4 linked regions of the Anolis sagrei genome follow. The protein of the gene in region 1 interacts with the protein of each later gene in a pairwise test. Links are inferred from orthologs where the notes say so. Each region holds a gene or a part of one and is shown on either strand. Other genes may lie near its edges.

Evidence for each region.
Region 2: the proteins of HOMER3 (region 1) and USP2 interact in binary tests that used the Homo sapiens proteins (3 or more experiments, as listed by UniProt). The two-hybrid records come from large-scale screens. The link is inferred for Anolis sagrei from reciprocal best matches to the Homo sapiens genes HOMER3 and USP2.
Region 3: the proteins of HOMER3 (region 1) and WIPF1 interact in binary tests that used the Homo sapiens proteins (3 or more experiments, as listed by UniProt). The two-hybrid records come from large-scale screens. The link is inferred for Anolis sagrei from reciprocal best matches to the Homo sapiens genes HOMER3 and WIPF1.
Region 4: the proteins of HOMER3 (region 1) and ABI3 interact in binary tests that used the Homo sapiens proteins (3 or more experiments, as listed by UniProt). The two-hybrid records come from large-scale screens. The link is inferred for Anolis sagrei from reciprocal best matches to the Homo sapiens genes HOMER3 and ABI3.

What each region holds. Positions count from the first base shown.
Region 1 is NC_090034.1:52,222,115-52,229,765, reverse strand, and holds the start of HOMER3 (homer protein homolog 3), read left to right. Parts: upstream 1-4,647; 5' UTR 4,648-4,832; intron 4,833-5,014; 5' UTR 5,015-5,176; coding exon of another isoform or gene 5,177-5,181; intron 5,182-7,651. UniProt on the Homo sapiens protein: Postsynaptic density scaffolding protein. Binds and cross-links cytoplasmic regions of GRM1, GRM5, ITPR1, DNM3, RYR1, RYR2, SHANK1 and SHANK3.
Region 2 is NC_090027.1:39,100,809-39,107,953, forward strand, and holds the start of USP2 (ubiquitin carboxyl-terminal hydrolase 2), read left to right. Parts: upstream 1-4,126; 5' UTR 4,127-4,316; intron 4,317-7,145. UniProt on the Homo sapiens protein: Hydrolase that deubiquitinates polyubiquitinated target proteins such as MDM2, MDM4 and CCND1. Isoform 1 and isoform 4 possess both ubiquitin-specific peptidase and isopeptidase activities.
Region 3 is NC_090021.1:192,111,625-192,119,620, forward strand, and holds the start of WIPF1 (WAS/WASL-interacting protein family member 1), read left to right. Parts: upstream 1-4,979; 5' UTR 4,980-5,181; intron 5,182-7,996. UniProt on the Homo sapiens protein: Plays a role in the reorganization of the actin cytoskeleton. Contributes with NCK1 and GRB2 in the recruitment and activation of WASL.
Region 4 is NC_090026.1:32,484,452-32,492,108, forward strand, and holds the start of ABI3 (ABI gene family member 3), read right to left. Parts: upstream 3,017-7,657; 5' UTR 2,706-3,016; coding exon 2,586-2,705; intron 164-2,585; coding exon 1-163. UniProt on the Homo sapiens protein: May inhibit tumor metastasis. In vitro, reduces cell motility.

The sequences.
Region 1 (7,651 bases):
GGGTCATAGTTTCTCTGGTTATAGGTGAACTACAACCCCCAAAACTGAAGGTCAATCTCTCCCAAATCCCTCCAGTAACCAAATTTGCGCATATCAGGTATGCATGCCAAGTTTGGTCCAGATAAATAGGCTTTTGGGTTCACAGTGCTGTCTGGATGGGAGTGAACTACAACTCTTATAAATCCACCTAAAGACAAACAGTATTTTTTTTTGTTTCTGTGTGCCAAGTTAGTTGCATATTCATTGTTTGTGGAGTTCTAAGTGCTCTTTGATTACAGATGAACTATAAATCCCAGTACCTACAACTCTTATAAATCAAGATAAATTATTTCCAAACCTCTCCAGTATTTTTCTTATGTCATGGGGGTTCTGTGTGGCAAATGTGGTCCAGGTCTATTGTCATTGGAGGTCACCGCACTCTGTCTTGATGCAGGGTGAACTTCAACTTCCATAATGTTGGGTCAGGCTCCCAAACCCCTCCAGTATGAGCAATTGCTGATCAATTCCTCTATGTTTGCTGTGTGCCATAGGAAAGAGCAGTAAAGGAGTATGGGAGATGCAGGGGGCAGGGTCATGCAAATTCCACACCAATGGAGAGAGAAAGAAACACTGGGATGCCTGTGGTGGAGGAAACACATAACATTTGGATGACATTGTCCCCTATGAAAGCCTTCACTTAGGTGGTGGGCAGTATTGTTTGTGGGGGACATTTGACATGTTCAATGGTGTTCACTATAACCTGCAATGAACATGAGGGTATTTGGTGTCTCCTGAGCAGTGGGAGCTATAGTTTTTTTGTGGAGGAAGGAGCTTGTCAGTGTTTCTCAACCTTCCAAATGCTGCGATCCGTTAATACAGTTCCTCACGTTGTGGTGACCCCGAACCATAAAAATATTTTCGTTGCTACTTCATAACTGTAATTTTGCTACTGTTATGAATCGTAATGTAAGTATCTGATATGCAGGATGCATTTTCATTCACTGAACCAAATGTAGCAAAAAATACCCTGATACACCCAAATTTGAATACTGGTGAGGTGGAGGGGGAGGGAGGGAGGTTATTGTATTTGTCATTTGGGAGTTGTAGTTGCTGGGATTTGAAGTACACCTACAATCAGAGACTATTCTGAACTCCACCAATGATGAAATTGAACCAAATTTGGCACACAGAACTCCCATGGCCAACAGAAAATACTGGAAGGGTTTGGCGGGCATTGACCTTGAGTTTTAGAGTTGTAGTTCACCTACACCCAGACAACACTGTGGACTCAAATAATGATAGATCTGGACCAAACTTGGCACAAATACTCAAAATACTCAATATGGCCAAATGTGAACACAGGTAGAGTTTGGGGAAAATAGACCTTGACATTTGAGAGTTGTAGTTGCTGGGATTTATAGTTCACCTGCAATCAGAGCATTTTGAACCCCTCCAAGGATAGAATTGGGCCAAACTTCCCCTATGACCAAGAGACAATACTGTGTTTTCTGATGTTCTTGGCAACCCCTCTGACAACCCCTTGTGACCCCCCCCCCCGGGGTCCTGACCCCCACATTGAGAAACGCTGGTGAAAGTGGACAGCCCAGCCATATACACACATACATATTTTCACTTTTATTATCTGTATTGATACTTAGGTGATCCCTCGTTGTCCGAGTAGGAGTCTTCTAAGGTCAGTGTACTGGTGGATTCGTGGGTGACTGTGGAGCCCTATTCTTGACCTGCATCTTCTTCCGCAGTGAGGGCATTGGATTCCAGGTGGAAGGCGGTCTCAGTTGGGATTGGCTTGACGTGCCTTCCTCTTGGCACATTTCTCTCTTTTGCCCTCCATTCGTGCCTCTTCAAATTCTACAGCACTGCTGGTCACAGCTAACCTCCAGCTGGAGCGCTCAAGGGCCAGGGCTTCCCAGTTCTCGGTGTCTATGCCAGAGTTTTTAAGGATGGCTTTGAGCCCGTCTTTCAATCTTTTTTCCTGTCCACCAACATTCTGTTTTCAGTTCTTGAGTTCGGAGTAGAGCAACTGCTTTGGGAGATGGTGGTCAGGCATCTGGACAATGTGGCTGGTCCAGCGGAGTTGATGGCATAGGACCACCGCTTCAATGCTGGTGGTCTTTGCTTCTTCCAGCACGTTGACACTTGTCCGCTTGTCTTCCCAAGAGATTTGCAGGATTTTCTGGAGGCAGTGCTGATGGAATCGTTCCAGGAGTTGCATGTGACGTCTGTAGACAGTCCACGTCTCGCAGGTGCATAGCAGGGTTGGGAGGACAATCTATATAAATAAAAATGTGATGTTCGTTTGTGGGATTAACAGAACTCAAAAAACACTGGAGGAATTGACACCAAATTTGGACACAAGACACCTAACAACCCAATGTATGTCCTTCACTCAAAAATATTGATTTTGTCATTTGGGAGTTGTAGTTGCTGGGATTTATAGTTTACTTACAATCAGAGAGCATTCAGAATGCTGGCATTGAACCAAACTTGGCCCACAGTTCTCCCATGACCAACAGAAAATACTGGAAGTGTTTGTTGGGCAGTGTCCTTTGGTTTTGGAGTTGTAGTTCACCTACATCCAGAGAGCGTTGTGGACTCAAATCAAATCAAATCATTTATTTCGGTCATTGACCAGCACAGGAAATAGTCACATTTTCATACAAACTTGGTATGTTTGGTACATTAAAAATATAAATATAACTACTGAAGCACAATATGGGTGAGGGAGCAGAAGGGAAGGGGAAACAGGGTAAAAACATACAATGCCCATATCCATCACCAAATTGTAGATTCAGAGAAGAAGATTACTGGACACACAGTTAACTTTTGGGGCTAGTCATTCCCTGGCGGATTTGGTATGCTGTTGCACAGAACTTTGCAACATTGTAGGTTGTAGCTGAATTAATATCTGCAAGTAGCATTTGTTTTTCATTCGTTCAGTCATCTCCGACTCTTCGTGACCCCATGGACCAGCCCACGCCAGAGCTCCCTGTCAGCCGTCACCACCCCCAGCTCCTTCAAGGTCAGTCCAGTCACTTCAAGGATGCCATCCATCCATCTTGCCCTTGGTCGACCCCTCTTCCTTTTGCCTTCCATTTTCCCCGACATAATTGTCTTTTCTAAGCTTTGCTGTCTCCTCATGATGTGGCCAAAGTACTTCAACTTTGTCTCTAGTATCCTTCCCTCCAATGAGCAGCCGGGCTTTATTTCCTGGAGGATGGACTGGTTGGATCTTCTCGCAGTCCAAGGCACTCTCAGCACTTTCCTCCAACACCACAGTTCAAAAGCATCGATCTTCCTTCGCTCAGCCTTCCCTAAGGTCCAGCTCTCACATCCGTAGGTGACTACAGGGAATACCATGGCTTTGACTAGGCGGATCTTTGTTGCCAGTGTGATGTCTCTGCTCTTTACTATTTTATCGAGACTGGACATTGCTCTCCTCCCAAGAAGTAAGCGTCTTCTGATTTCCTGGCTACAGTCTGCATCTGCAGTAATCTTTGCGCCTAGAAATACAAAGTCTGTCACGGCCTCCACATTTTCTCCCTCTATTTTCCAGTTGTCAATCATTCTTGTTGCCATAATCTTGGTTTTTTTGATGTTTAGCTGCAACCCGGCTTTTGCGCTTTCTTCTTTCACCTTGATGAGAAGGCTCCTCAGCTCCTCCTCGCTTTCGGCCATCAGAGTGGTGTCATCTGCATATCTGAGGTTGTTAATGTTTCTTCCAGCAATTTTCACCCCAGCTTTGCATTCATCAAGCCCCGCACATCGCATGATGTGTTCTGCATACAAGTTAAAAAGGTTGGGTGAGAGTATGCAGCCTTGCCGTACGCCCTTCCCAATCTTGAACCAGTCTGTTGTTCCGTGGTCAGTTCTTACTGTTGCGACTTGGTCCTTGTACAGATTCCTCAGGAGAGAGACAAGGTGGCTTGGGATGCCTATCCCACTAAGAACTTGCCACAATTTATTATGATCCACACAGTCAAAGGCTTTAGAATAGTCAATGAAGCAGAACATCTACTTCTGCAAGGAGCATGGAGGTATAAAATTGCTGTGGACTCAAACAATGATGGTTTTGGATCAAACTCTACATGAAGACTCAGTATGCCCAAATGTGAACACTGGTGGAGTTTGGGGAACATGGAATCTTGACATTTGGGAGTTGCAATTGCTGGGATTTGTAGTTCACCGACAATCACAGAGCATTCTGAACCCCACCAGTGATAGAATTGGGCCAAAACTCTCACACAGAACCCCCATGTGGGCCACAGCAACGCGTGGCAGGGGACGGCTAGTAGCTTTATAAACAAGCACCTTGGTATCCCTATCTGCTTCATTCGGGGAAAAAGCTGCACTCGCAGAGCTCAGGATAGATATATAATTTCATGAATGAATATGGATATGTGTGTGTGTGTGTGTGTGTGTGTGCTAGTTAATAAATATATAGGAGGAGCTTAGTTGAGGGTTCCTGTATGGGAAAGAGGCTGGACTAGATGGCCTTTGGGGGACCCCTTATAAGATTTCAATCTGTAAGCCTTGCAGAGAACAGCTGGGGCCTCCAGATTGAATGACTCTGGGGTATATATATATACATGTGTGTGTCTCTCCATAAAAGGTGTAGGTCCCATTGCTGACCATTGGGTGGCACCACTGAGCCAACCAAAGAGAAAGGGAAGAAGGGAGGAGAGAGGGGTGGAAACTCGGGAGAAAAGAAATGTGGTCGAGATGAAGCAGAGTTGGCAGAGGAAGCCAGAGGGTTTCTTTCCAAAAGGGATCCTGTCTCTGTATACTATACATAAGGGAAACGTAAGACCTTGAGGATCTCCTTCACAAAGTGGGTAAGCTTTGTTATAATTCCATATCTTTTGAGAGGGATTGTGGTTTGGCTGGAGCAGAGCAAGCGGCAGGAGGCATTGAGAGCCAGATCTGGTGTGCAAGCTAGATTTTCAGATACAGCTGTGTGTGTATGTGTATGCATGCCTATTAACAATCGTTTTGTCTTCCTTTCTGGGCTTGAAAGTGGCCCCATCCCCCTTGGAGAACAAATGGCTTTCCAAAGTCAAATTCCGGAGGAAATTTGAGCAGGATCCGGATCTGGACAGAAAGAAAAAAAAAGGAAGAAGGAAAGAAAGAAAAGAAAGAAAAGCTGGCAACGTGGAGGGAAGATCACAGCCTGGAAAAGATGGGGTGAGAGGATCATCTTTCTTTCTCAGATATTGATTGATGTTTTGTGGTCCTGATCAAGGCTGTAGGATTATCTTGATGGCTCATTTTGAGGTCCAAAAGTAAAGTAATGAATGGCTGGAGCCTGAAGTTTTGCAGTCCCAAAGAGGGAATGGGTCTCTTCTGAGATCTTCTAGTGTTTCCTTTGAGAAAGAAGAGCAACAATGGGGTGTGGCTGGTATAGACTTCCCATAAGGGAAGGAAAGATGGGATTTGTTCCTTTGTTGGGGTGACCTTCTCATGAAGGAACCCACAGCGATGTATTCACTAGGTCTCTAAGGGACCCCCAAAGAGCATCTCGTCCAGCCTCCTTTCCATGCAGGAACCCACAATGAACCCACTCCTCTGTATTTATTAATTAGGTTTCTAAGGGACTCCCAAAGGCCATCTAGTCCACCCTCCTTCCCATGCAGGAACCCACAATGAACCCACTCCTCTATATTTATGAATTAGGTCTCCAAGGGACTCCCAAAGACCATCTAGTCCAGCCTCCTTCCCATGCAGGAACCCACAGTAAAAGTATTCTTATATTTATTGTCTAGATCTCTAAGAGACCCCAAAGGCCATCTAGTCCAGGCTTCTTCCCATGCAGGAACACACAATAAACCTACTCCTCTATATTTATGAATTAGGTCTCTAACGGACTCCCAAGGGTCATCTAGTCCATCCTCCTTCCCATTCAGGAACCCACATTCTTATATTTATTATCTAGATCTCTAAGAGACCCCCAAAGAGCATCTAGTCCAGCCTCCTTCCCATGCAAGAACCCACAATGAACCCACTCTATATTTAATAATTAGGTATTTAAGGGACCCCCAAAGAGCATCTAGTGCAGCCTCCTTCCCATGCAGGAACCCACAATGAACCCACTCTATATTTATTAATTAGGTATCTGAGGGACCCCCAAAGCCCATCTAGTCTAGCCTCCTTCCCATGCAGGAACCCACATTCCTATATTTATTATCTAGATCTCTAAGAGACCCCAAAGGTCATCTAGTCCAGCCTTCTTCCCATGCAGGAACCCACAATGAACCCACTCCTCTATATTTATGAATTAGGTCTCTAACGGACTCCCAAGGGCCATCTAGTCCAGCCTCCTTCCCATTCAGGAACCCACATTCTTATATTTATTATCTAGATCCCTAAGAGACCCCCCAAAGAGCATCTAGTGCAGCCTCCTTCCCATGGAGGAACCCACAATGAACCCACTCTATATTTATTAATTAGGTATCTGAGGGACCCCCAAAGGCCATCTAGTCCAGCCTCCTTCCCATGCAGGAATCCACAATGAACCCACTCTATATTTATTAATTAGGTATCTAAAGGACCCCCAAAGCCCATCTAGTCCAGCCTTCTTCCCATGCAAGAACCCACAGAGAACCCACTCCTCTATATTTATTAATTAGGTCTCTAAGGGACACCCAAAGACCATCTAGTCCAGCCTCCTTCCCATACAGGAACCCACAATGCACCCGCTCCTCTGTGTTTATTAAGTGAGTCTCTAAGGAACCCCAAAGGCCATCTAGTCCAGCCTCTTTTCCATGTAGGAACCCACAACAAAACTCTGCCTCCTTTGTTGACTGTTAAGTAGTGGGATTGCTTTCCTTGGAGAGAAGTGGACTCTACTTCTTTGGTGGACTTGAAAGAGAGGTTGGATGAGCCTCTTTCAGGAGTGATTTAGTTGTGTCAGGCAGGTGAAGGTTGGACTGGATGGCCTTTGTGGTCTCTTGTGATTCTAAAATTCGATGATATGTATTTTTAACAGAGAATGGATGGAGGTTGGACTAGATGACCAACCTCCATCCATTCTCTAGGATTCTATGATTATATAGTCCCATTTCTCCACGAAACTTCAAATGTCTATGAGGTTGGATGGCCATCTGTTGGAAGAGATTGGATGGTGTCTTCCTGTCCGGCAGGATGGGGATGGACCAGATGGCCTTTGGAGGTCCCTTCCAATTCTAGGCAGGGAAAGAATAAGAACTTCTGCTTTAAAAGCCATTTGACAGAGGGCTGAGTCAGCAGGGCAGCGAGCCAGCGGCTTTTTTCCCAGGCTGCCTCTCAGCTAGAAAAGAGGCCTCTGAAAAGACAAACCAGATGTGTTTTTTGAAGAAATGGGAAGGGAGGTTTCCAAACTGCCCTGTGTTCAGAGATAAACTAAGATCTGGTGTGGTTTGAGCTTTGGAATACAACTCCAGAGACCTGGGTTTGAATCCCGTTCTCGGTCATAGAAACGCACTGGGTGACTTGCCCCACAAAGTACTTACAGTTAAGTCGGAACACAACAACAGCAGCAGGGACTGTAAAGAAATAGGACAGCAATACACAATCCCAACTTCAGTATTCAGCGATACACCTTTAGACTTGAGGATTCTTATTATTATTGTTATTATTATTGATCCCATCTTTGTTATTCAACAATACACCTTTAGAC
Region 2 (7,145 bases), on another chromosome or scaffold:
AAACAAACAAGATTTTATCAGGTGTCCAAGATGAAAGCCAGCTGAAAAGTTCGTATTCAGCGTTCTTTAGAAATCTGCTTTCAGTTCCCTCCCTAAAGTTTCTGGTCCTTATTAATCATCTTAATTTCAAAAGTCAGGGTGCATCTACAGCAGACATGGACAAGCTTTCTAACTTGGGGGCCACATGTTAGTACTCTTTGCTAGGATGACTGGCTGCCTGGTGATGGAAGGAAGAAAGAGAAGGAGAAAGGGAAGAAAGAAAGAAAGAAAGAAAGAAAGAAAGAAAGAAAGAAAGAAAGAAAGGGTGGAAGGAGAAAAGGAGAGAGGGAAAGAGGGAGGAAAGAAGGAAGGAAAGATAAAAGGGAAGGAGGAAGGAAAAAGAAAAAGGAAGGAAGGAAGGAAAGGGTAAAGTAAAGAGAGAAAGAAGGAAAGACAAAGAAGAAGGAAAGAAGGAGAAAAAGGGCAAGAGGAAGGAGAGAGGGAAGAAAGGAAGGACGAAAATGTGAAAGGGAAAGGTGGATGGATAGAAGGAAGGAAGGAAGGAAGGAAGGAAGGAAGGAAGGAAGGAAGGGAAAGAGAGAAGGATGAAAGGATGAAAGGGTGGAAGTAGAAGGAGGGAGAATTAGGAAGGGGAGGAAAGAGGCAAGAAAGGAAAGACAAAAGGGAAGGAAGGAGAAAGAAGGGGAGAGGGAGGAAAGAAGGAAGGAAGGGGTGGAAGGAGAAAAGGAGAGCGGGAAAGAGGGAGGAAAGAAGGAAGGAAAGATAAAAGGAAGAAGGAAAAAGAAGAAGGAAGGATGGATGGATGGATGGATGGATGGAAGGATGGATGGACGGACAGAAGGGAGGGAGGGAAGGATAAAGGAAAGAGAGTAAGAAGGGAAGACAAAGGGGAAGGAAAGAAGGAGAAAGAAGGAGAGAGGGAGGGAAGAGGAAAGGAAGGAAGGACAAAAATGTGAAAGGGAAGGATGGAAGGAAGGGAAGGAAAGAGAAAAGGATGGAAGCATGAAAGGGTGGAAGGAAATAGAAGGAGGGAGAAAGAGAGAAGGGAGGGAGGAAAGAGGGCGAAATGGTGAAAGGGAAGGAGAAAGAGGGAGGAAAGGAGGAAGGGAAGAGAGAAGGAAGGATGGGATGATGAGAGAGAGGAGGGCCTGAGAAAAGAGCCCAAGGGGCCGCATCTGTCCCTTGGGCCTGGCTTTACCTATACCTGATCTACATTGTTGAATTGATGCAGTTTGACACCACTTGAATTGTCATGGCTCAATGCTTTGGGATGCTGGGAATTGGAGTTTGGCGTGGTCTTTATCCTTCTCTGCCCAAGCATATCAGTCCCTCACCAAACACCAATCTCAGGTTTCCATAACATTGAGCTATGGCAGTTACAGTTGTATTAAAATGCATTAATTCTACCATGAAGACACGCCTCTGTTAGAAACTGTGTCAAATACCATTGCCATGTGGTTTGTACTAATGTGTGCACAGATGGATAAGAGTCTCTGACAGTGCCCATCTTAAATACCCCCATGTTTGAAAAAGTTACATTTTTGGAGTAATGGAAGTTCCTTTTATTGGACTCACGATGGCTATGCTGGCTTCTGGGGTGTATAATCCAAGTCAAAGAACATTTAATCAACTACCAAGCTTGCAAACTTTGTGTTTGTTTGTTTGTTTGTTTTTAATGCAATACAACTGTTTGGTTCACTCCTGGCACGATAAATAAATAGTCCAAGTATTCTTTTCCTAAGAAAATCCCATGAAATTCATAAATCAGCCATAAGTCAACAGAGGAATTTTTTGTAGTTGATTGTGATTCTGGAGACCAGGCTTCAAATTCATGCTCTGCTGTAGAAACCTACTTGGTTTATTTATTTGTCGTGTTAGGGCAACCAGTAAATTGTATTACATTTCTAACAGAACAAAACAAGCAAACAGACAAAGAACAACATTTGCAAACTTGATAGTTGATTAAATGTCCTTTGACCAGCATCTGGCCACTTGGAGTGCCTCTGGTGTTGCCGCAAGAAGGTCCTCCATTGTGCATGTGGCAGGGCTCAGGTTTCATTGCAGCAGATGGTCAGTGGTTTGCTCCTCTCCACACTCGCAGGTTGTGGATTCCACTTTGTAGCCCCATTTCCTAAGGTTGGCTCTGCATCTCGTGGTGCCAGAGCGCAGTCCGTTCAGTGCCTTCCAAGTCGCCCAGTCCTCTGTGTGCCCAGGGGGCAGTCTCTCATTTGGTATCAGCCATTGATTGAGGTTCTGGGTTTGAGCCTGCCAATTTTGGACTCTCGCTTGCTGAAGTGTTCCAGTGAGTGTCTCTGTAGATCTTAGAAAACTATTTCTAGATTTAAGTCATTGACGTGCTGGCTGATACCCAAACAGGGGATGAGTTGGAGATGTCTCTGCCTTGGTCCTTTCACTATTGGCTGCTACTTCCCGGCGGATGTCAGGTGGTGCAATACCGGCTAAGCAGTGTAATTTCTCCAGTGGTGTAGGGCGCAGACACCCTATGATAATGCGTCATGTCTCATTAAGAGCCACATCCACTGTTTTAGTGTGGTGAGATGTGTTCCACACTGGACATGCATACTCAGCAGCAGAGTAGCATAGCGCAAAGGCAGATGTCTTCACTGTGTCTGGTTGTGATCCCCAGGTTGTGCCAGTCAGCTTGCGTATGATATTGTTTCTAGCACCCACTTTTTGCTTGATGTTCAGGTAGTGCTTCTTGTAGGTCAGAGCATGGTCCAGAATGACTCCCAGGTATCTGGGTGTGCTGCAATGCTCCAGTGGGATTCCTTCCCAGGTAATAATCCTCAGAGTTCGGGATGCTTGTCTGTTCTTAAGGTGAAAAGCACATGTCTGTGTTTTAGATGGATTAGGGATCAGTTGGTTTTCCCTGTAGTAGGCAGTAAGAGCACCTAGAGCAGTGTTTCTCAACCTGGGGGTCGGGACCCCTGAAGGGGTCACGAAGGGGTGTCAGAGGGGTCACCAAAGACCATCGGAAAGCACAGTATTTTCTGATGGTCATGGGGATTCCATGTGGGAAGTTTGAGCAAATTCTATCATTGGTGGAGTTCAGAATGTTCTTTGATTGTAATGAACTATAAATCCCAGCAACTACAACTCCCAGAAGTCAAGGTCTATTTTCCCCCAACTCCACCAGTGTTCACATTTGCACATATTGAGTATTTGTGTCAAGTTTAGTCCAGATCCACCATTGCGTGAGTCCACAGTGCTCTCTGGATATAGGTGAACTACAACTCCCAAACTCAAGGTCAATACCTACCAAACCCTTCCAGTGTTTTCCGTTAGTCATGAGAGTTCTGTATGGCAAATTAGGTTCAAATTCATCGCTGGTGCAGTTCAGAATGCTCTTTGATTATAGGTGAACTATAAATCCCAGCAACTACAACTCCCAAATGACAAAATCAATCCTTCCCCAACCCCACTAGCATTTACATGTGGGTGCATTGGGTATTTGTGCCCAGTTTGGTCCAGTGAATGAAAATACATCTTGCATATCTGATATTTACATTATGGTTTATAACAATAGTAAAATGACTATTATGAAGTAGCAACAAAAACCATGTTATGGTTGGGGGTCACCACAACATGAGGGACTGTATTAAGGGGTCACGGCATTAGGAAGGTTGAGAACCACTGACCTAGAGTTTCGGAGAGCTTCTGTTCAATCATCTCAAAGCTCCCTGCTTGAGTAGTAATGGCATGATCATCTGCATAGACTTGGTGAGTCACACTCTCTGGATGTGTCTCACCAAGGAAACCCTGTGATGGGATCACTTTAGGGTTGCCTTAAGTCCGAACAACTTGAAGGCACGCAACAGCATAATTTCTTCAAGCCATTGCAGGAAAAGAAGAGCAAACTTTTCCAAATTCTCTCCAATGTGGGTAGTTTCTCTTGACCCACTCCACACAAAACCATAAACATGCCTGGTTAGGCCTCTGACTCCGCTTCCCCTTTAAGCCACCCCGATGCTGGAATGTGAGAGAGCCCCATCCATTCCCCCGTGAGGTCAGATAAGACACTATATTTATCTGGCTTGTAACCTGAGCTGTGAATTTCTGCCTATGCTGCTGACACATGCCTTGGGAGTTCATTCTGTGCCGCAGACGTTGCCCTGCGAGGGAGAGGAGAATCCTCTGAGTCTGCAAACAAGTGAGTCCTTTTGGGCTCTTGTGAATCATTTCTATTTTCCTAATAGAAAAAGCCGCTTGCTGAGACCGAACGGAGCACCTGCCGTTGATCCGGAGCGCCATCCATATGCCACGATTCCTCCCTGGGCCTGTCGTTCGGCACACAGGTGGGTACCATCAACACTGAGGCTGAAGGGTCCATCCAGAGCTTGTCTACACTGTCAAATTAGTGCAGTTTGATACCAGTTTAACTGCAATGGGATACTAGGAGATATCGTTTAGAGAAGCACCAACCCTCTTTGGTGGAGAAGGCTAAAGATGATATGATATGAAACAACTCCCAGAATCCCAAGGGAAGTAACAAAGATAAGTGTGGTCATCCCTCTGAGCATGTGCCAAATGCTCATCCAATGCGGCCATCCATCCACAAGCATTTTTGGGATGGAGGCAAAGGTGGTTTTAGGCCAGTCTGAAGTTTTATCTCCATCCTCAATGGGATTATATTGAATAATAATAATAATAATAATAATAATAATAATAATAATATATCACACAGTCCTAGACGCTTGGGAAGTGTTCGACTTATGATTTTGCGATACGAAATCCAGCATATAGATCTCGTTTGCTGTGACATACTGTGGTGTCAGTAAAATAATAATAATAATAATAATAATAATAATAACAACAACAACAACAACAACAACAACAACAACAACAACAACATGATATGAGGATTTACTGGCACAAGTCAGTAAAGGTGGTCCCAGTGGTGATCGGCACACTGGGTGCAGTGCCTAAATACCTTGGCCTGCACTTAAACACAATCAGTGCTAATAAAATTACTATCTGCCAGCTTCAAAAGGCCACCTTACTGGGATCTGCACACATTATTTGCCGATACATGACACAGTCCTAGACACTTGGGAAGTGTCCGATGTGTGATTCAATGCAACAGCCAGCAGAGTGATCTTGTTTGCTGTGGATTCATCTTGTTGGGTTTCTAATAATAACAATAATAATAATAATAATAATAATAATAATAATAATAATAATAGAGTTGGAAGAGACCTTGTGGACCATCTAGTCCAACCCCATTCCACCAAGAAGTAGGAAAATCGCATTCAAAGCACCCCAACAGATGGCCACCCAGCCTCTGCTTAAAAGCCTCCACCACACTCCAGGGCAGAAAGTTCCACTACTGAACAGCTCTCACAGTCAGGAAGTTCTTCCTCATGTTCAGGTGGAATCCTCTCTCTTTCCTGTAGTTTGAAGCCACTGTTCCACCTCCTAGTCTTGAGGGCAGCAGAAAGGAACCTTGCTCCCTCCTCTCTATGACTTCCTCTCACATCTTGATCCCTGGCCCTCATCATGTCTTTTCTCAGCCTTCTCTTCTGCAGGCTAAACATGCCCAGCTCTTTAAACTGCTCCTCATAGGGCTTGTTCTCCAGACCCTTGATCATTTAGTCACCCTCCTCTGGACACATTCCAGCTTAGAGTCAACATTTCCCTTCAATGGTGGTGCCCAGAATTGGACAGTGTGATTCCAGGTGTGGTCTGACCAAGGCAGAATAGAGCATGGGGAGCATAACTTCCTTGGAATTTGGCACTAGGCTCCTACTGATGCAGGCCAAAATCCCACTGGCTTTTTTAGCTGCCGCATGACATTGTTGACTCATGTTTAACTTGTTGTCCATGAGGACTCCAAGATCTTTTCCACACGTCCTGCTGTCGAGCCAGGCATTGTCCCCCATTCTGTCTCTTTGCATTTCATTTTTTCTGCCTAAGTGGAGTATCTTGCATTTGTCCCTGCTGAACTTCATTTTGCTAGTTTTGCCCAATCATCTCTCTAATCTGTTACATATCTGTAATAGTAGTAGTAATAATAATAATAATAATAATAATAATAATAATAATAATATTACCTGCCTCTATTCTCCGTAACTGTCATGGCAGGAGCCCCCGGTGGCACAATGGGTTAAACCCTTGTGCCAGCAAGACTGAAGACCAACAGGTCGCAGGTTTGAATTTGGGGAGAGCATGGATGAGCTCCCTCTGTCAGCTCCAGCTCCCTATGCAGGGACATGAGAGAAGCCTCCCACAAGGATGGTAAGACATCAAAACATCCAGGTGTCCCCTGGGCAACGTCCTTGGAGACGGCCAATTCTCTCACACCAGAAGCGACTTGCAGTTTCTCAAGTTGCTCCTGACATGGAAAAAAATCCCAGATTATTTGGCAGTGAGGATTTATATAATCCAGGATGGTGAAACATCAAAACATCCGGGCATCCCCTGGGCAAAGTCCTTGCAGACAGCCAGTTCTCTCACACCAGAAGTAACTTGCAGTTTATCAAGTCGCTCCTGACATAGAAAAAAAACTGTCATGGCTTCTCCCAGAGGATTGTGGGAATTACAAAGGGTTCCATTACAGAATCAGAACCCAACACACACACATACACACACACTAACCTGAAGCAACAGTTCCCAGTTGCCTTGGGAGAATGGGGATGAGAGGTAAGCCAGTTCCTTCAACCATATGCCAAAATTCATTGCTGGCATGCTGTACTGTTCTACATGAAACCCATTTACATTTTATATAGACCTAATAGTTTTAGATCGATAGATCGATAGATCGATAGACGGATAGATAGATAGATAGATAGATAGATAGATAGATAGATAGACTCATGAAGCCACGTTTGTGTAATGTATTGTCGAAGGTTTTCATGGCTGGAATCACTGGGTTGTTGTAGGTTTTTCGGGCTATATGGCCATGTTCTAGAAGCATTCTCTCCTGACATTTCGCCTGCATCTATGGCAACCATCCTTAGAGGTTGTGAGGTCTCACAACCTCTGAAGATGCCTCACAACCTCTGATGATTCTTGCCATAGATGCAGGCGAAACATCAGGAGAGAATGCTTCTAGAACATGGCCATATAGCCCGAAAAGTCTACAACAACTCACGTTTGTATACATTGAACCATCGGAAAGCAAAGGG
Region 3 (7,996 bases), on another chromosome or scaffold:
GATGGAAAATAAGTTTGGGGCAATCACACATCCCTGTTTTGACACCTTCCACAGTGAAAGGGTCACTTTGGGAGCCACTGCTGTCCAAGACTGTTGTCATCATGTCACCGAGGAGGAACTGCAGAATGTTCACAAATTTGTCAGGGCATCTAATTTTTTGGAGGATGGTCCAGAAAGCACTGTGATTCACTGTGTCAAATGCCTCTGCAAGGTCAATGAATGCCATGTACAGAGGTTGATTTTATTCCCTGCATTTTTATTGTTGTGAATATATGATCAGATGTCCATGCACACAACAATTGCTGTTCCCAGCACCCCTGTAACTTCCACACACCCACAAAATTACTCCAAATGTCATCTAGTTCCACCCTGTGTGGATTTGAGAGGCAAATTAGGATGGGAAAGTTTCCTGGAGACTGCAAGTAAAGCACAGAGATGCTATTTTTCTATCAGCATCTATCAGCATCTCAAGTGGATTTTGTCCCAGAGCTACTATTTAAGATATTGTTGTAAGTATAATATTTGATTATATTAATGTTGTCTTTATCCAACATCACACTTGCTACTTTGATAAACAATCCCACACACAAACATACACATATACACAACATCCCTCCCTGCTTCCATGGAGGGTTTCCAATCCCATCCAAAGCTGGTTTGGGGAGGATAATATGGGGGGCTACAGGGTGGAGGAAGAAAAGTCCTGTTTCCAGTTCCGCCAATAGGAGTAAGTCCTTCTATCTATAGAATCACCCAATTGGATCAGTATCACGATTTAATTGCTGATGAAGGGGCCCTTTCACACTATACAATTACATTATGATTCCCATGTACCACTGTGACTCATACAGGGTTGTTTTTTCCCCAAAGGTTATAAGCTGTCTTCAATGATACAACAACAACAACAACAACAACAACAACAACAACAACACACTTTATTTATATTCTGCCCTTTTCCTTTAGGGAACTCAGTGCAGATTACAGCATTTACATACATAGGCAAACATTCAATGCCTTTTACAATCATATACAATGAGACACACAAACATAAACAAAGGCAAAGGCTTCTCCTTTCATTTCCGGCTTCTGGAGGCAGTGCACATCTCTGGCTCTCGGGAGGTGATTTTCTCCATTTTCAAGCCAAGGAGCCTACGTTGACACTTCCTGATTGTGTGGCTGGCAAGATTGCTTGGAGTGTCTCTTTGCCTTTTCCCGCCGAAGCGGTACCTATTTATCTACTCACATTTGCATGTTTTCAAGCGGCTAGATTGGCAGGAGCTGGAGCTGACAGACAGAAGCTCACCCTGTTTCCTGGATTTAAACTGCCAACCTCCAGGTCAATAGTTCAACCAACCTTCAGGTCAGCAGTTCAGCAGCAAAAAGTGTTTAACCACCACATTGCGCCACCACTGCTCCATACACCACGACTCCATACAAATGCATGAGATAGAAATATTTTAATTTGGGATTGTAAATCACCTATTTGGATTATACTTTTGTCTCCCCTTCATAATGTTTTCTCTATGAAAGCTCTCAGAATTCATGGCCTGAGAGCTTTATTGCTTTGCAAAACTAAAAGTCCCAAGATTTCGTGGACTGCAGTTATGGTAGTTAAAGTACTATCAACTATGTAATGAAAAGGGCACTAAGTGAGAGATGGAAATCATGAAACCTATCACACAACAATCATAAGCAACACTCCAGCTGGAGGTCAGCTGTGACCAGCAGTGCTGCAGAATTTGAAGAGGCACGAATGGAGGGCGAAAGGGAGAAGCGTGCCAAGAGGAAGGTGCATCAAGCCAACTCCAACCGAGACCGCCTTCCACCTGGAAACCAATGCCCTCACTGCGGAAGAAGATGCAGAGCAAGAATAGGGCTCCACAGCCACATACGGACCCACAAGAATACTGGAAGACAATCATCCTCGGAAAATGAGGGATCGCCTAAGTAAGTAAGCAACACAGCAAATGGCAATGCCTCCTAGGAGATGTAATCCCACAATCTCTAGTAGTGCAACCATGGCCACCCCAACTGAACAGGCGTTAAGCATCTTGAAGGAAGAAAACGCAACAAAGATGATACGGTACTTTTTTGCCAGATTAACTAAATTGGAAGTACAGTGGAATCCTTTGAGACAGAAGAAGACTACAGCTGAAAGGCAACAGTGTGGCTTGATTGTCCTTGTGAATGACCAAAGACAGCTGGATAAAAAAAAACCAAAGATTGCTATGGTTTCTTTTGTCCTTATGGCAGAAATGTTGGGTCTATAACAGCTGCAGGGATGGGGTGCTGAAAGGCCCCACAGGTGAAGCTTACAAGCATTCTCCAGTCCTGTCCTAAAGAGCAAAGCTGCAGCTGTTTCATTTCTTTCTGCCATGCAGCTGTTAGGCACCGGGCAAAGACTGCAACTGTCTTGATAGGAATTACCTTCTTGGGTAGCACATGAATATCCATTTGTCAGTTTCAGTGGCACAGCATATTAATTTTTGTGGGTTTTTTTATTTCTAATTATTGATTTTTGAAAATGTTAAGATTTTGGCAATTTAGAAGGACTTAGATTTACTCAAGGAATTACACAATTTAGAGGGAAAAAGTCAGAATCTTGTTTAGCAGCTATGAATGCATAATCTAGGGTACATCCACATTGTAGAATTAATGCAGTTTGGTCCCACTTTAACAGACATAGCTCAATGCTATGGAATTATGGGAGTTGTAGTTTTACAAGGCCTGTAGACTTCTCTGCCAAAGAGAACCAAACTGCAACTCCCATGATTCCACAGCAGTTAAGGTGGTGTCAAACTGAATATATTCTAGCATAAGTGCACCCCTAGAGTGACATTTTTAGGATTCCTACATAGCCACTAGCTTAGGGGATATTTCCTCCTGTTGCTCACAAAGCAGCTGGCTGATGGGCCCATCCCTCTCATGCAACTGATCTTTCACATGGGGAGGCATGGTGTACTTCCATTATATTTAGAGGGTGCATCTGCACTTTAGAAGTAATGCAGTTTGACACCACAGGGCTCAGTACTGTGGAATCCTCCCAGGATTCCATAACATTGAACCACAGCAGTTAAAATGGTTTCAAACTGCATCCATTCTATAGGGAAGATGAACACATATTGATATGGGAGGTGACACCCCCCCCCCCAGGACTCTGTAAAATATGGGTTAGGTTTTGGATTAGGGTTAGGGGTAGGGTTATTGTTAGGGTTAGGATTAGAGTTATGGGTTAGGGCTAGTGTTTGGATTAGGGTTAGGGAAAAGGTTAGGTTCAGGGTTAGGGTTAGGGTTAAGGTTAAGGTTAGGGTAGAGTAAGAGTTAGGGTTAGGGCTAGGGCTAGGGTGAGAGTTAGGTTTAGGGCATGGGCAGCTCATCCATTACGCGAAGTAAGCGGTCGCAGAACACTTTTTTTGCCAGGGGTGCAGAGGCGCCTCTGTAAATGCCCCTCGACTGCCACTTGAGGAGCGCCCCCTCAGCTCACAACAACCCTAGCAGTCCGGGGAGAGCCTCAGCTTTCTTGCCTCGCTGCCAGGCGATCCTCTTCCCAAAGTGGCCGGGCTCTTGAGCCTCTCCTAGCCCCTCTCGTTCCTGCTCCACCTGGCCACCGGGTGCGCGAGCAGAGCCGGCGCTCAATCGTTCTCCATGTTCGATCCCTTCCCCATGACTGGCACTCTTTCCCGATCCCCTGGTGCTCCACCCGCCTCCTCTCCTCTCCCCAATCCGCGGGTGGGCCAAGGGGTGGAGCCGCCGCACCTGGCCCTCTTCGGGTCTGGAGGCGTGTCTGAAGACCCCAGCGTGCGCACCAAAAGTCACCTCTTCTCCTGACTTTCTCTTCAGCCATTGGGACCAAGAGAGAGAGAGAGACAGAGAGCCCCTCCAGCTGGAGGTATCTCCCACCTCCGCTCCCTCCTTTGTTTTTGCGCCTACCTTCAGGAAAGGTGGGCATCTCCACCTCTCTCTCTCTCTCTCTCTCTCTTGGCCCCAACGGCTGAGGAGAAAGTCAGGAGAAGAGGTGACTTTTGGTGCACACGCTGGGGTCTTCAGGCACGCCTCTGGACCAAAAGCGGGCCAGGCAAGGGAGCAAGTGCAGCAAGTGTAGTTACTGGGATGTATAGTTCACCTACAATCAAGGAGCATTCTGAACTCCACCAGTGATGGAATTGAACCAAATATGGCACACAGAACTCCCACGACGAAAAGAAAATATCTATCAATGATTGGCTGGGGGGGGGGGGGCAAAATACTGTTTGCTTACCATTGAAAATTACCTAGGGCCACCTCTGGTTTAGGGTTATTGTTAGTGTTAGGGTTAAGGGTAGAGTAAGGGTAAGGTTTAGAGTTAGGGTTAAGTTCAGGGTTAGGGTTAGGGTTAAGGTTAGGGTAGGGGTTTTTTGGTCACGTGTTCCGTTCTGCGTTGCGCAAACAGCGCCCCGAAGGTGTGAAGCATAAGCAGCATAACGCTCAGAGATTCCTTACTCAGCTATCATACTAATACCGTAGGATTTTCTGCCTTGATATTCTGAGTTATATGGTTGTGTGGAAGGGGCCCTGGGTCCACACTCAGATAATGTGGGATTTCCTGGGTTATAGGGCTGTGTGGAAGGGCTCTGGGTTATCAGAGTCCATACAATCATATATCCCAGTTCAGGGTAGGGTGTTATTCAGCTGTGTGGAAGGGTCCTGGGTGAGAGATTCCTTGAAAGTGCTGAAGGAATGTGCCGAGGAAACAAAGTTGTAAAGAAACTTTTACCATGTTTTTTGTAATACAGCCAATTAGGAAATGACATATATTTCTAACCCAGGAACACAGAGAATATGTAATCAGAGTCCCGTTGCGGGAGAGAGCGGGCCTGCTTTGGCGTGGCCCCTCCCTCTGTCTGTCTGTCTGTCCTTTCCCTTCCTTTCCCGGGTTGACCGGGCTGCGTCGCTGGCCGCGAGGAAGAGGAAGCGGCGGGGATTGGCGGGGCCAGGCCGGGGGTGGGGCCCGGGGCTGGCTCTCCTCCCTCCTTGCTTCGCCCCGAAGGACTGACAACGTCGGCAGCTTCACCCCATCGCCGCTGCCTTTGCCCTCTGCATCTGGACTGGGGCCCGCGCCCACCTCTGCATGGCTCCCGAGGAGGAAGAACGAGGAGGAGGAGGAGGAGGAGCAGGAGGAAGCGAGGGCCAGTAGAAGTTTCGGTGGGTAGCCTTCCTACTTTCTTTCTCAAGAGAACCACACCATCCCACGTTCGCCTGTGCGCCGAGGAGGGAAGCCAAGGAGCCCAGGCGTTTGGGAAGAGTCTCGTGGTGCCTTTGGCTTCTCCGCCCTCCTGGCTGCCCGGGATCCGCTCCTGGCGACCCATAACCGGTCGGGGAGGGAGGGAGAAGGAGAGAGGGAGGAGCCCAGCTCGCCATCGCCCTCTTCGGCCCCTGGTTCGGGTCGGGATCCCTGGCTGCGTTCCTTTGGGCGCTCTCCGAGAGAGAGAAAGGGCTGGGGCATCTACACCAGGCATGGGCGCACTTGGGCCCTCCCTCCTGGTGTTTTGGGCTTCAACTCCCACCATTCCTAACAGCCTGCCGGTCCAAAACACCTAGAGGGAGGGCCCAAGTTGACCCATGCCTGATCTACACTGGAATCAACGCAGTTTTGGTCCTACTTTAACTGTCATGGGTCCATGCTATGGCACCCTGGGAGCTGTAGTTGTCCAAAGTCTTGAGCCATCTCTGCCCAAGAGGAAACCCACAATTCCACAGCAATTCAAGAGCAAGGCACTGACCACCTACTACAATGCAACATCATCATCATCATCATCATCATCATCATTATTATTATTATTAGAAACACAACAAGATGAGTTCACAGCAGACACTCTTCTGGCTGTTGTATTGGATCACACGTCAGACACTTCTCAAGTGTCTAGGACTGTGTGATGTATTGGCGAATAATGCATGCAGATCCCAGTAGGGTGGCCTTTTGCAGATGGTAATCTTGTCAGCACCAATTGTGTTTAAGTGCAGGCCTAGTCTTTAGGCACTGCACCCGGTGTGCCAATCACCACTGGGACCACCTTGACTGGCTTGTGCCAGAGTCTTTGCAATTTGATCTTTAAATTCTCATATCATATCATGTCATTGTCATTATTATTATTATTATTATTATTGCTGACACAGGTAGAATAATATCACAATCCATCACCATTTCCGAATACATATCAAATATTGTTTTCATAGTGTTATCCTTACCTATTCCACCTTTATCCCCCACTTGTGTCTATTGATTTTACACCCCTTTCCTCCACCCCCCACCCCCACCCTTTGGGAGCAGTACTTGTCTTCATTCAAATATTAATTTAATTGAAGAATCATGTAAAGAGAATGGTTCAGCTCTTTATATCTTTCTTTTCCTTCGACTTTTTCTATCAGTCTTCCCCATCAGTCTTCTTGATTCGGCATGCTGTATATTTGGCTCTTCTTTCAGAGATGTAGTCCTGAAGCATAAAGTCTGCTAGGTAACCATACCATTTTTTAACTTCCCACTTTCTATGGTCTTTCCACCCCAAGGCCACAGTTGCTTGGGCAGCAACTATCATGTATTTTATCATCCCCCCCCCCCCCCCAATCTTTGATGTTTTTGTTCTTGTCTAATTTCTGGGTGAAAAATGCAACCTGAGCCCTGCCACATGCACAATGAGGGGCCTTCTTATATCAACACCAGAGGCACTCCAAGTGGCCAGCTTCTGGTAAAAGGACGTTTACTACAATGCCAAGTTGGCAAACTTTGTGTGTGTGTGTTTTAAAAATACAATACAGCTGTTTGGTTCGCTCCTGGCATGATAAATAAATAAGTGGGGGTCAAGCTGTATGAATAATCACAAACTGCAGTTGCCTCCGGAGATTGGGACTAGAGAGCAGGCCAGTTTACCATCCAGCCTCACTGCTTTGCTTTGCCTTTGGGGAGTGACAAGAGAGAGGGAGTTTGTTTTGAAAAGTAAGTGAGATGAAGCCCTTCCAAGATGAATGGTTTCCCCCTGACATTAAGTCTAGTTGTGTTGGACTCTGGGGGTTGTGCTCATCTCCATTTCTAAACCAAAGAGCTGATGTTGTCTGTAGACACCTCCAAGGTCATGTGGCCAGCATGATTGCATGGAGCACCATTTCCTTCCCACAGAAGCGGTACCTATTGATCTCACATTTGCATGTTTTCGAATTGATAAGTTGGCAGAAGCTGGGGCTAACAGCAGGAGCTCACCCAGCTCCCTGGATTCAAACTGCCAGCCTTTCAGTCAGCAAGTTCAGCAGCTCAACAGTTTAACCTGCTGCGCCACCGGGAACTCCATTACACATTTGTAATTCCAACCTTTTTATTATTCTGACTACTATTGTTTAGGTTACACTATGCAACGCAATTTTTTGTTCCTGGATTATAAGTGTCATTTCCTAATTAATTCTATCATTAAAACATGGAAAAGGAGTACTGTTCCATTATCAGGGCAGGCCATCTGTCGGGGGTGCTTTGAATGCGATTTTCCTGGTTCTTGGCAGGGGGTTGGACTGGATGGCCCATGAGGTCTCTTCCAACTCTAGGATTCCATGACTCTATGACTCCAAAAGGATAGTCCGTTGTATGGGAGGGGGAAGTTGAAGGAAAAAAAAACATGACCCCCGTTTTTGCTGGTTATTCCCCCTCTCCACTTCCCATTTCATAAACGAGGGTTGTTTCCAGAGTGGGAACATGGGTAGGGGAAATAACAGGAAAACAAGGGGAAGTGGTTTAACTCCCTAATCCCCCCCCCCCCCTTTAAATGGACTATCTTTCTCTCTCTAGCACCACCTTTTGGCCTTCATTCGGATAATGGAATAGTACCGTAAAAAGTTTATTAAACTGTAAAAACTTTGTTTTTGTGGGACACCCTGCAGCACATTTTGCTAGTTCATGAATATCTCATTGAGTCTCAACCAATTCAACATAGTTTGTGTCTGCCACAAAAATTAATTTTCTGGAGTAGAACAGCTA
Region 4 (7,657 bases), on another chromosome or scaffold:
TGATGGAGCAGACATTGGCTTCCACTTGCCGGATTTCAGCCGCCTGCAAGTCCAGCATTTTGAGGATGTCGCTGGCCAGGTTGCTGATTTGGTAGGCCACGCTGGCTAATGATTGAGTGGCAAAACCCATCGTTTCCTCAAGGGCTTTCCGTTTGTCTTGTGCCTAAATTATTTCAGAGGAAGAGGGAAAGGAAGAGGAAGAAGAAAAAGGGAAACTTAGAGAGATACTAAGGGCCCTTCCAGACAGGCCCTATATCCCAGGATCTGATCCCAGGTTTTCTGTTTATCCCAGATTACCTGGCAGTGCGGACTCTTATAATCCAGTTTAAAGCATAAAACCTGGGATCACATCCTGGGATATAGGGCCTATCTGGAAGGGCCCTGAAATGTCTGGTAGTGGCTTCTCAGATGTGACTTTTGCTATAGGAACAGAACTTTAAGTATGGTTTTGTCTGTGTGGAGCCTCCAGTGATGCAGTGGGTTAAACCACTGAGCTGCTGAACTTGCTGACCAAAAGGTCAGTGGTTTGAATCTGGGGTGAGCTCCTGTTGTTAGCCCCAGCTTCTGCCAACCTAGCAGTTCGAAAACATGCAAATGTGAGTAGATCAATAGGTACTGCTTCTGCAGGAAGATAACAGCGCTCCATGCAGTCATGCTAGCCACATGACCTTGGAGGCATCTACGGACAACACCAGCTCTTCGGCTTAGAAATGGAAATGAGCACCTCCCCCCAGAGTCGGACACAACTAGACTTTATGTCAGAGGAAACCTTTGCTTTTACCTACCTTTGCCCGTGTGATGCTACAAACCTGGGGAAGTTTATAGGTTATCCCCAAAACACTGGGATTTACTTTTTGTTGAAATCTTCACAAAACCCAATGAAAATTAAAATGAAAGTTGCCTATAATTTGCTTATCTCTAGAAAGTATCCTCCAATGACCTTCCAAGAAACTGAAACTTACTCCTTAGTCTAAAACAACGTTCCCTACTCTTGTACTGTATTAGGCGGAACTGAGCAACTGCATAGATGGCATGGAATAATTTACACCCTTCATAGAGACTTCCCAATGGGTCATTGAAGTGCATTGAAATGAGGTCATGGCATATCTGGCAATCATTTTTCATCTGCATCTTGATACAAAATATTATTTTGTTTCAAAAACATTGCATAAAATAGTTTATTTAAAACTGATAAAATAAAGGGCTCACAAGTTGCTAGATAGTTTTAGACCAAAAACGGGCAACAGCGGCTGCATTGTCTGTAGCTTTAAACAATTCTTCCTCATTGCATGAGGCAGGGCATTGTGGACAAGCATACAGATGCTGAGTTGTTTGTTCTGCTCCACAGTCACACAAGGGGGAGGATTCTTTTAGGTAGTGCCATTTTGCCAAGTTGTCTTTCGATCTGCCAACTCCGCTTCGGAGTCTGTTCAGGGACTTCCAAATTGCCCATTCTTGGGGAAGACCCTTGTGGGGGGCCATCCAGTTAGTACTACCAGTTTTTGCTACCTACAGGGATATTCTTGCTGTTGCTTTTGATCCAAAGATGGCATGGGAGTGGGGAAATCAAATTGCTGAATAACAACTTTTTTTTTTGCCTGTTGGGGACATTTAGAGTTTGAAAAAAAATCAATCCAAAATCACCCCAAAGTTTCAGCTGGAGCACAGATTCGGGGTTTTTAGGACATGTAAAGAGGCTTTGGTACTGTAAAACTGATCCCCCTCCCATCCCTTGGTTAGATGATTTTCTGGCTTTCCAGGCAGGAGTGTTGGTTGGCTAGAATCTCTGCATAAATGAAATATTCATCCCTCCGCTTCCTACATCATCCCAGAGGTTGCTAGTCCCTAGCTCCTGCAGCAGCCAGCTTCCTATATAAATAAAAGGTGTTTCAACAGCTTTGGAGATAATTCCTGTGCCATCCATCCCATTCACATCAGGAGCTGGCAATACCCTCAGCAACCTAGGAAACTATCTTTCCACACTTCTGTTCAAGCATGACTTAGAGTGCTGCTTTTTATAGCTAACTCTAGGGTAAGGATGGGCAAACTTCAGTTTGCGAGGTATTTTGGACTTCAACTCCCACAATTCCTAACAGTAGGTTGTTAGGAATTGTGGGAAGTAAAGTCCAAAATACCTGGAGGGCCAAAGTTTGCCCATGCCTTCCCTAGACATTCTTCTGTCTGAGGCAATGGACAAAGTGAAGATGATACCATCTCCCTATTCTACATACAGAAGGTAATTGAAGGCAAACTCTTCCTTCAGTAACAACAAGGGGATAACACTTTCTACCACAACTGGGAGCAACAGGCTAGTTTATGACACTCCAAATTACTTCTTGACTACAAACCCTGGAATCTCAATTTTTCTGGAAATTCTAGGAATTACAGTCCAAAAGGTAACTCAAGTCTCCAATAGCTGTAAAATAGTGCAGTCCTCCATCAAAAGGGATAAATCAGACTAAGAAGGGATTATGGGCAGCAGCTCCAAGACCTGCCACCTGAACTAGTTGTTTCTACCCAATGGTAGAGCCAGCCCCACTTCTATGGCAAGTGCCATCTCAGAATCCTACCCAGCTGTGACTCACCTGCCCATAGTTGCTCTCACAGTAATCAGCCACTTTGAGCAGGTTGCTGTAGTTTTCCTTCAGGACCCCCCTTGCACAAGGGATGGATGCCTGTATCAGCTGCTGCAATTCGGAGGACATGCTGTCATCAGTCTGGTCTCCACACTTCCTCCTGACAGCGTGCGGTGTGGCAACTTCACCCAAGATCCGATCTCAGTTTCACACAACTCATGGTGACACTGTCTGGCTGGGACCTCTTTTATACTTGAGTCGACGCCTCCTGTGGCAGAGCCCATCCCACCCCTCGGTCTTCTTGCTGACACCCTGAGATTTATTGCTGTCCTCCAAGTACACATGGAAACTGTGTGGACATCCTCTTTCATTCCTGGAGTGACAAGTACCTCCACGCTTAGCATACAAGATAAGAAAACTTTCTTCGGCTTGAGTGAGCAACAATAAATGACGAGAAATAACTGAGGAAATGTTGAGGGAGATGGTGCAGGGAGGGGAGAGGGACTGTCAAGAGAGGAAACTATTATTTATAGAACTTTGTTTGCTTAACTGATTGCAGCAATGCTGACTTTTATTGCTAAGTGAGCCAGGTGAACATGTGTAACTTAACTCAGGCCCCTTCTTCATAGCAATGTAACATCCAGATTATCTGCTTTGAACTGGATTATATAGCAGTGTAGACTAAGGGCTCTTCCATACAGCCATATAACCCAGATATCAAGGCAGATAATCCACAATATCTGCTTTGAACTGGGTTATCTGAGTCCCCACTTCCATTACTTACTTACTTACATACTTACTTACTTACTTACTTACGCAATCCCACCTTGCCCGAGTAGGATAGTCTTCCAGGATCAGTATTCTGGTGGGTCCGTAGGTGACTGTGGAGTCCTATTTTTGATCTGCATCTTCTCCTACAGTGAGGGCATTGGTTTCCAGGTGAAAAGCGGTCTCGGTCAGGGGTGGCTTGACGCGCCTTCCTCTTAGCACGTTTTTCTCTTTCACCCTCCATTCGTGCCTCTTCAAATTCTGCAGCACTGCTGGTCACAGCTGACCTCCAGCTGGAGCGCTCAAGGGCCAGGGCTTCCCAGTTCTCAGTGTCTATGGTTTTTAAGGTTAGCTTTGAGCCCATCTTTAAATCACTTTTCCTGTCCGCCAACATTCCGTTTTCCCCACTGCCATATAACCCAGTCCAAAGAAGATAACGTGGATTTTTGTATAGCTGTGTGGAAGGGGCCAAAGATAATCCAGTTTAAATCAGATAATGTGTATTTTCTCCTTTGATAACCTGAATTATCTGGCAGTGTAGAAGGGTCCTCAGCGTTTGGGACAGCATATTTTAGTTTATAGTTCATAGCATCCTTGCTTGGGGATTCTGGGAATTTATCTTTCCTTTGATACTAGTTCAGAGCACACATTGCTAGTCAACATAGAAAACCAAGGATGAGCTCAATACTACTACATTGTATCTGATCCATCAAACCATTATGCCCAAGCTGCCCAACCCATGGACCCATATGTCTCCTGTCCCATTAGGAGAGAAAAAAACAAAAGAACCTTGAAGCTACTCAGGGAAAGTAAGAGACGAACAACGCAAATTGTAGTTTCTGTCTCTGTTTTGTGCCACTATCTAAGTCTGCTTCCATCTTCCTTGGCACATACAGAGAAAGCAGAAGTCAGGCCAGCTATACTTCTATCTTGAAGCACCAACTCAATTTTGCACTGACCTTTACATTTAGCCCTTTCCAAGGTATTGGTTGGAAGAATCCCTATCATTAGTTCCAGGCAGAAATTCAGCCCTACCAAGGTTCCTCACTTCTGCACCAACAGTGGTTCCCATGATATTGGAATTATGAAACTACTACAGGTTTTTAGTTTCCTTAAAATTTAAGGGAACTGACCAAGGGCCTAAACCCTGAAAATTAAGGAAACTGACCTGGGGACTAAAACTCAGGTCTTGCCAATTACTTCCTCTGAAATATTGCTACAGTTCCTGGTATTAATTGGCAGCCTCCCATCCATTTTTGCTAAAACCTGTTTAGTTTCCAAGTTCAGAGAGAATTTGGTGCCTTTATTTAACCCTCTTTTGAGGAAGGTAAATGCAAAATCACCCGAACCAACCAAGCAATGTTGAATTAATTTCCTCATGTTCTGTAAAATCCATATAATTGAAGTAGCAATAGTTGTCAGCATAACCCAGAAGTTGGCAAAACCAGCTCTCCTGCCCAGGATCTAACAAAGTTTCTAAACTAAGGCCCTTGTGAAATAAATTACTTTATGATGCACATATTTGACAGTGCATTTCCTATTTGCCATTAAAATAATAATAATAATAATAATAATAATAATAAACAATGCAAAGACTCTGGCACAAGCCAGTCAAGGTGGTCCCAGTGGTGATCGGCACACCGGGTGCAGTGCCTAAAGACCTTGGCCTGCTCTTAAACACAATCGGCACTGACAAAATTACCACCTGCCAGCTACAGAAGTCCACCTTACTGGGATCTGCACGCATCATTCACCAATACATCACACAGTCCTAGACACTTGGGAAGTGTCCGATGTGTGATCCAATACAACAGCCAGCAGAGTGTCTGCTGTGGACTCATCTTGTTGTGTTTCAAATAATAATAATAATAATAATAATAATAATAATAATAATAATTGCACCCTGCCACCATCTCCCCAAAGGAACCCGGGACGGCTCACAGAAGCACTCCAAGTGCCACATGCAGACAACCATACATAAGTACAGGGCCGTAGCCAGAAAAAAATTTCGGGGAGGGTTGACAATTTCGGGGGGGGGGGGTTTGAAAATTTCGGGGGGGGGGGGGGAATTTCGGGGAGGGTTGAAAATTTGGGGGGGGGGTTGAAACCTGCCTCCTAGCTCACGCTAAAGCAAAGCGCACAGCAGGGGGCAGAGCAACCTTCAATAGCCTGCAGCTCCACCCCTGTCAACCACCTCCACCAAGTCTGGCCTCCTTAATGAGAGCATTCAACACACACACACACCACTTGGTTGCTTCACTACATCGCTATTGCTGCAAGTAATGACAGTGTGAATAAATTGTCAATATTTGCTTGAGATAGTGCTTACAGCTCTGGAGGGACTCTTAATTTTTTGCATCTCATAGACTTAGCATGGGGATTTGGTTAACCAGTTAAAATTCATGAGTAAACCAGTTTTTTTAAAAAAATCTGAAACATTTCGGGGGGGGGTTTGAACCCCTAAAACCACCCCCTCACTACAGGCCTGCATAAGTATAAACACAATGACATAAATATAATCAACAATGCATAAGAAGAATGCCTGTCAAGGATTTCTTTGAATTACAGCTGAGGCGCTAAAGCTGTTAATTTGCTGAAAAGGCAGAGACAGCTTCCAAAGGTACAAGATGATAAAAAGAGCCAATGGGAGCACAGCACATACTTCTGCAGTCCAATATCCTTGTGACCCATTAGATGCCCATGGGGTGGCCACAGGTTGTTCACAAGCACTGATATTAGGAACCGAGTGTGCATGGGGAATGCACACTGCCCTCTTAACATCCATCCAGTTCTGCTCATGTTAAGCCACTAAGTACCTTTAGGAGACTAATTCCTACTGAAAGACTACACAGAAATGCAACTTGAATTTAACCTTGATGTACCTGATCATAACTTTTTGTAAATATATCCAGAAAGGAAGGTGTGGGTTGGGGGAAGGATCAAGGTTAATGTTCACATGAGTCATTCCCTTGTCCTTCAAATATAGAACCTTACCCCTGGGCCTAGTTGCATAGAGATTGTTATTGTTGTGTGCCTTCAAATCATTTTTGAATTATGGTGACCCTAAAGCAAACCTATCAAGAAAGTAAACCTCACAACCTCTGAGGATGCTTGCCACAGATGCAGGCGAAATGTCAGGAGAGAATGCTTCTAGAACATAGCCATATAGCCCGAAAAACCTACAACAACCCAGTGATTCCAGCCATGAAAACCTTTGACAATACAGTTTTGGAGGACTAAGAGAGTGTGACTCACCCAAGATCATCCACTGGGACCCCTTCCACACAGCTGAATAAAATCCCACATTATCTGCTTTGAAGTGGGATATATGTCAGTATAGACTCAGATAACCCAGTTCAAAGCCGATATTGTGGGATTTTCTGCCTTGATATTCTGGAATATAGGACTGTGTGGAAGGGCCCTGGTTTCCAGAGTCAGAGGGCCCTTCCACACAGCCATATAACCCAGAATATCAAGGCAGGAAACCCCACAATATCGGCTTTGAACTGGGTAATCTGAGTCCAAACTTGGATAATGTGGGATTTCTTGTGTTGATATTCTGGTACATAGGGCTGTGTGGAAGGGCTCCCAGTTCAAAGCAGAAAATGTGGAATTTTATCCCCCTGTGTAGAAAGGGTCAGAGCCCAAAGTTGAAGACACTACACCAAGTATCCTCAAACTATGGTCCTCCAGTTGTTTAGACCTCCAACTCTCAAACATCATGACAATTGAACCAGCTGGCTAAAGCTTCTGGAAGTTGGCCCAAACAGCTGGAGAGCCACAGTTTGAAGATGCCTGCACTACACCATGTAGAGCAAGCATCTTCAAACTGTGACCCTCCAGCTGTTTGGGCCTCCAACTCCCAGAAGCCCTAACAAGCTTGTTCAATTGTCAGGAATTCTGGGAGTTGCAGGCTTGAACAGTTTGAGGATGCCTGATCTAGAGATTGACAGTAAATATTTTTTGCTGAAGGAAATACAATCTTTCTCGGCTCAGGTCACTGTTCCTTATTTTTGTTTCATATATCCCTGGAGTTGTCAATTGAACAAAGGGGCTTATTGGGGTGAGTATAAAATAACCTTTCAGTGAACCCATAGATGACTAGTAGGTCAGCCCAAGAATCAATGAGTTGAGTGCAGAAGACAAGCAGACCTAAACAAATCTGGAGCATTTCATTCAATAACTAGGAAACTGTTTTGGGGACTCAGGGCTGAGGTCTAGATTTTGAGCCTGGAACATCTCATTTAGTCACATCTGCATTGTGTATATGTCTCCCACTCTAATGGATCGATTGATCTATTTTTTTTCCAAAT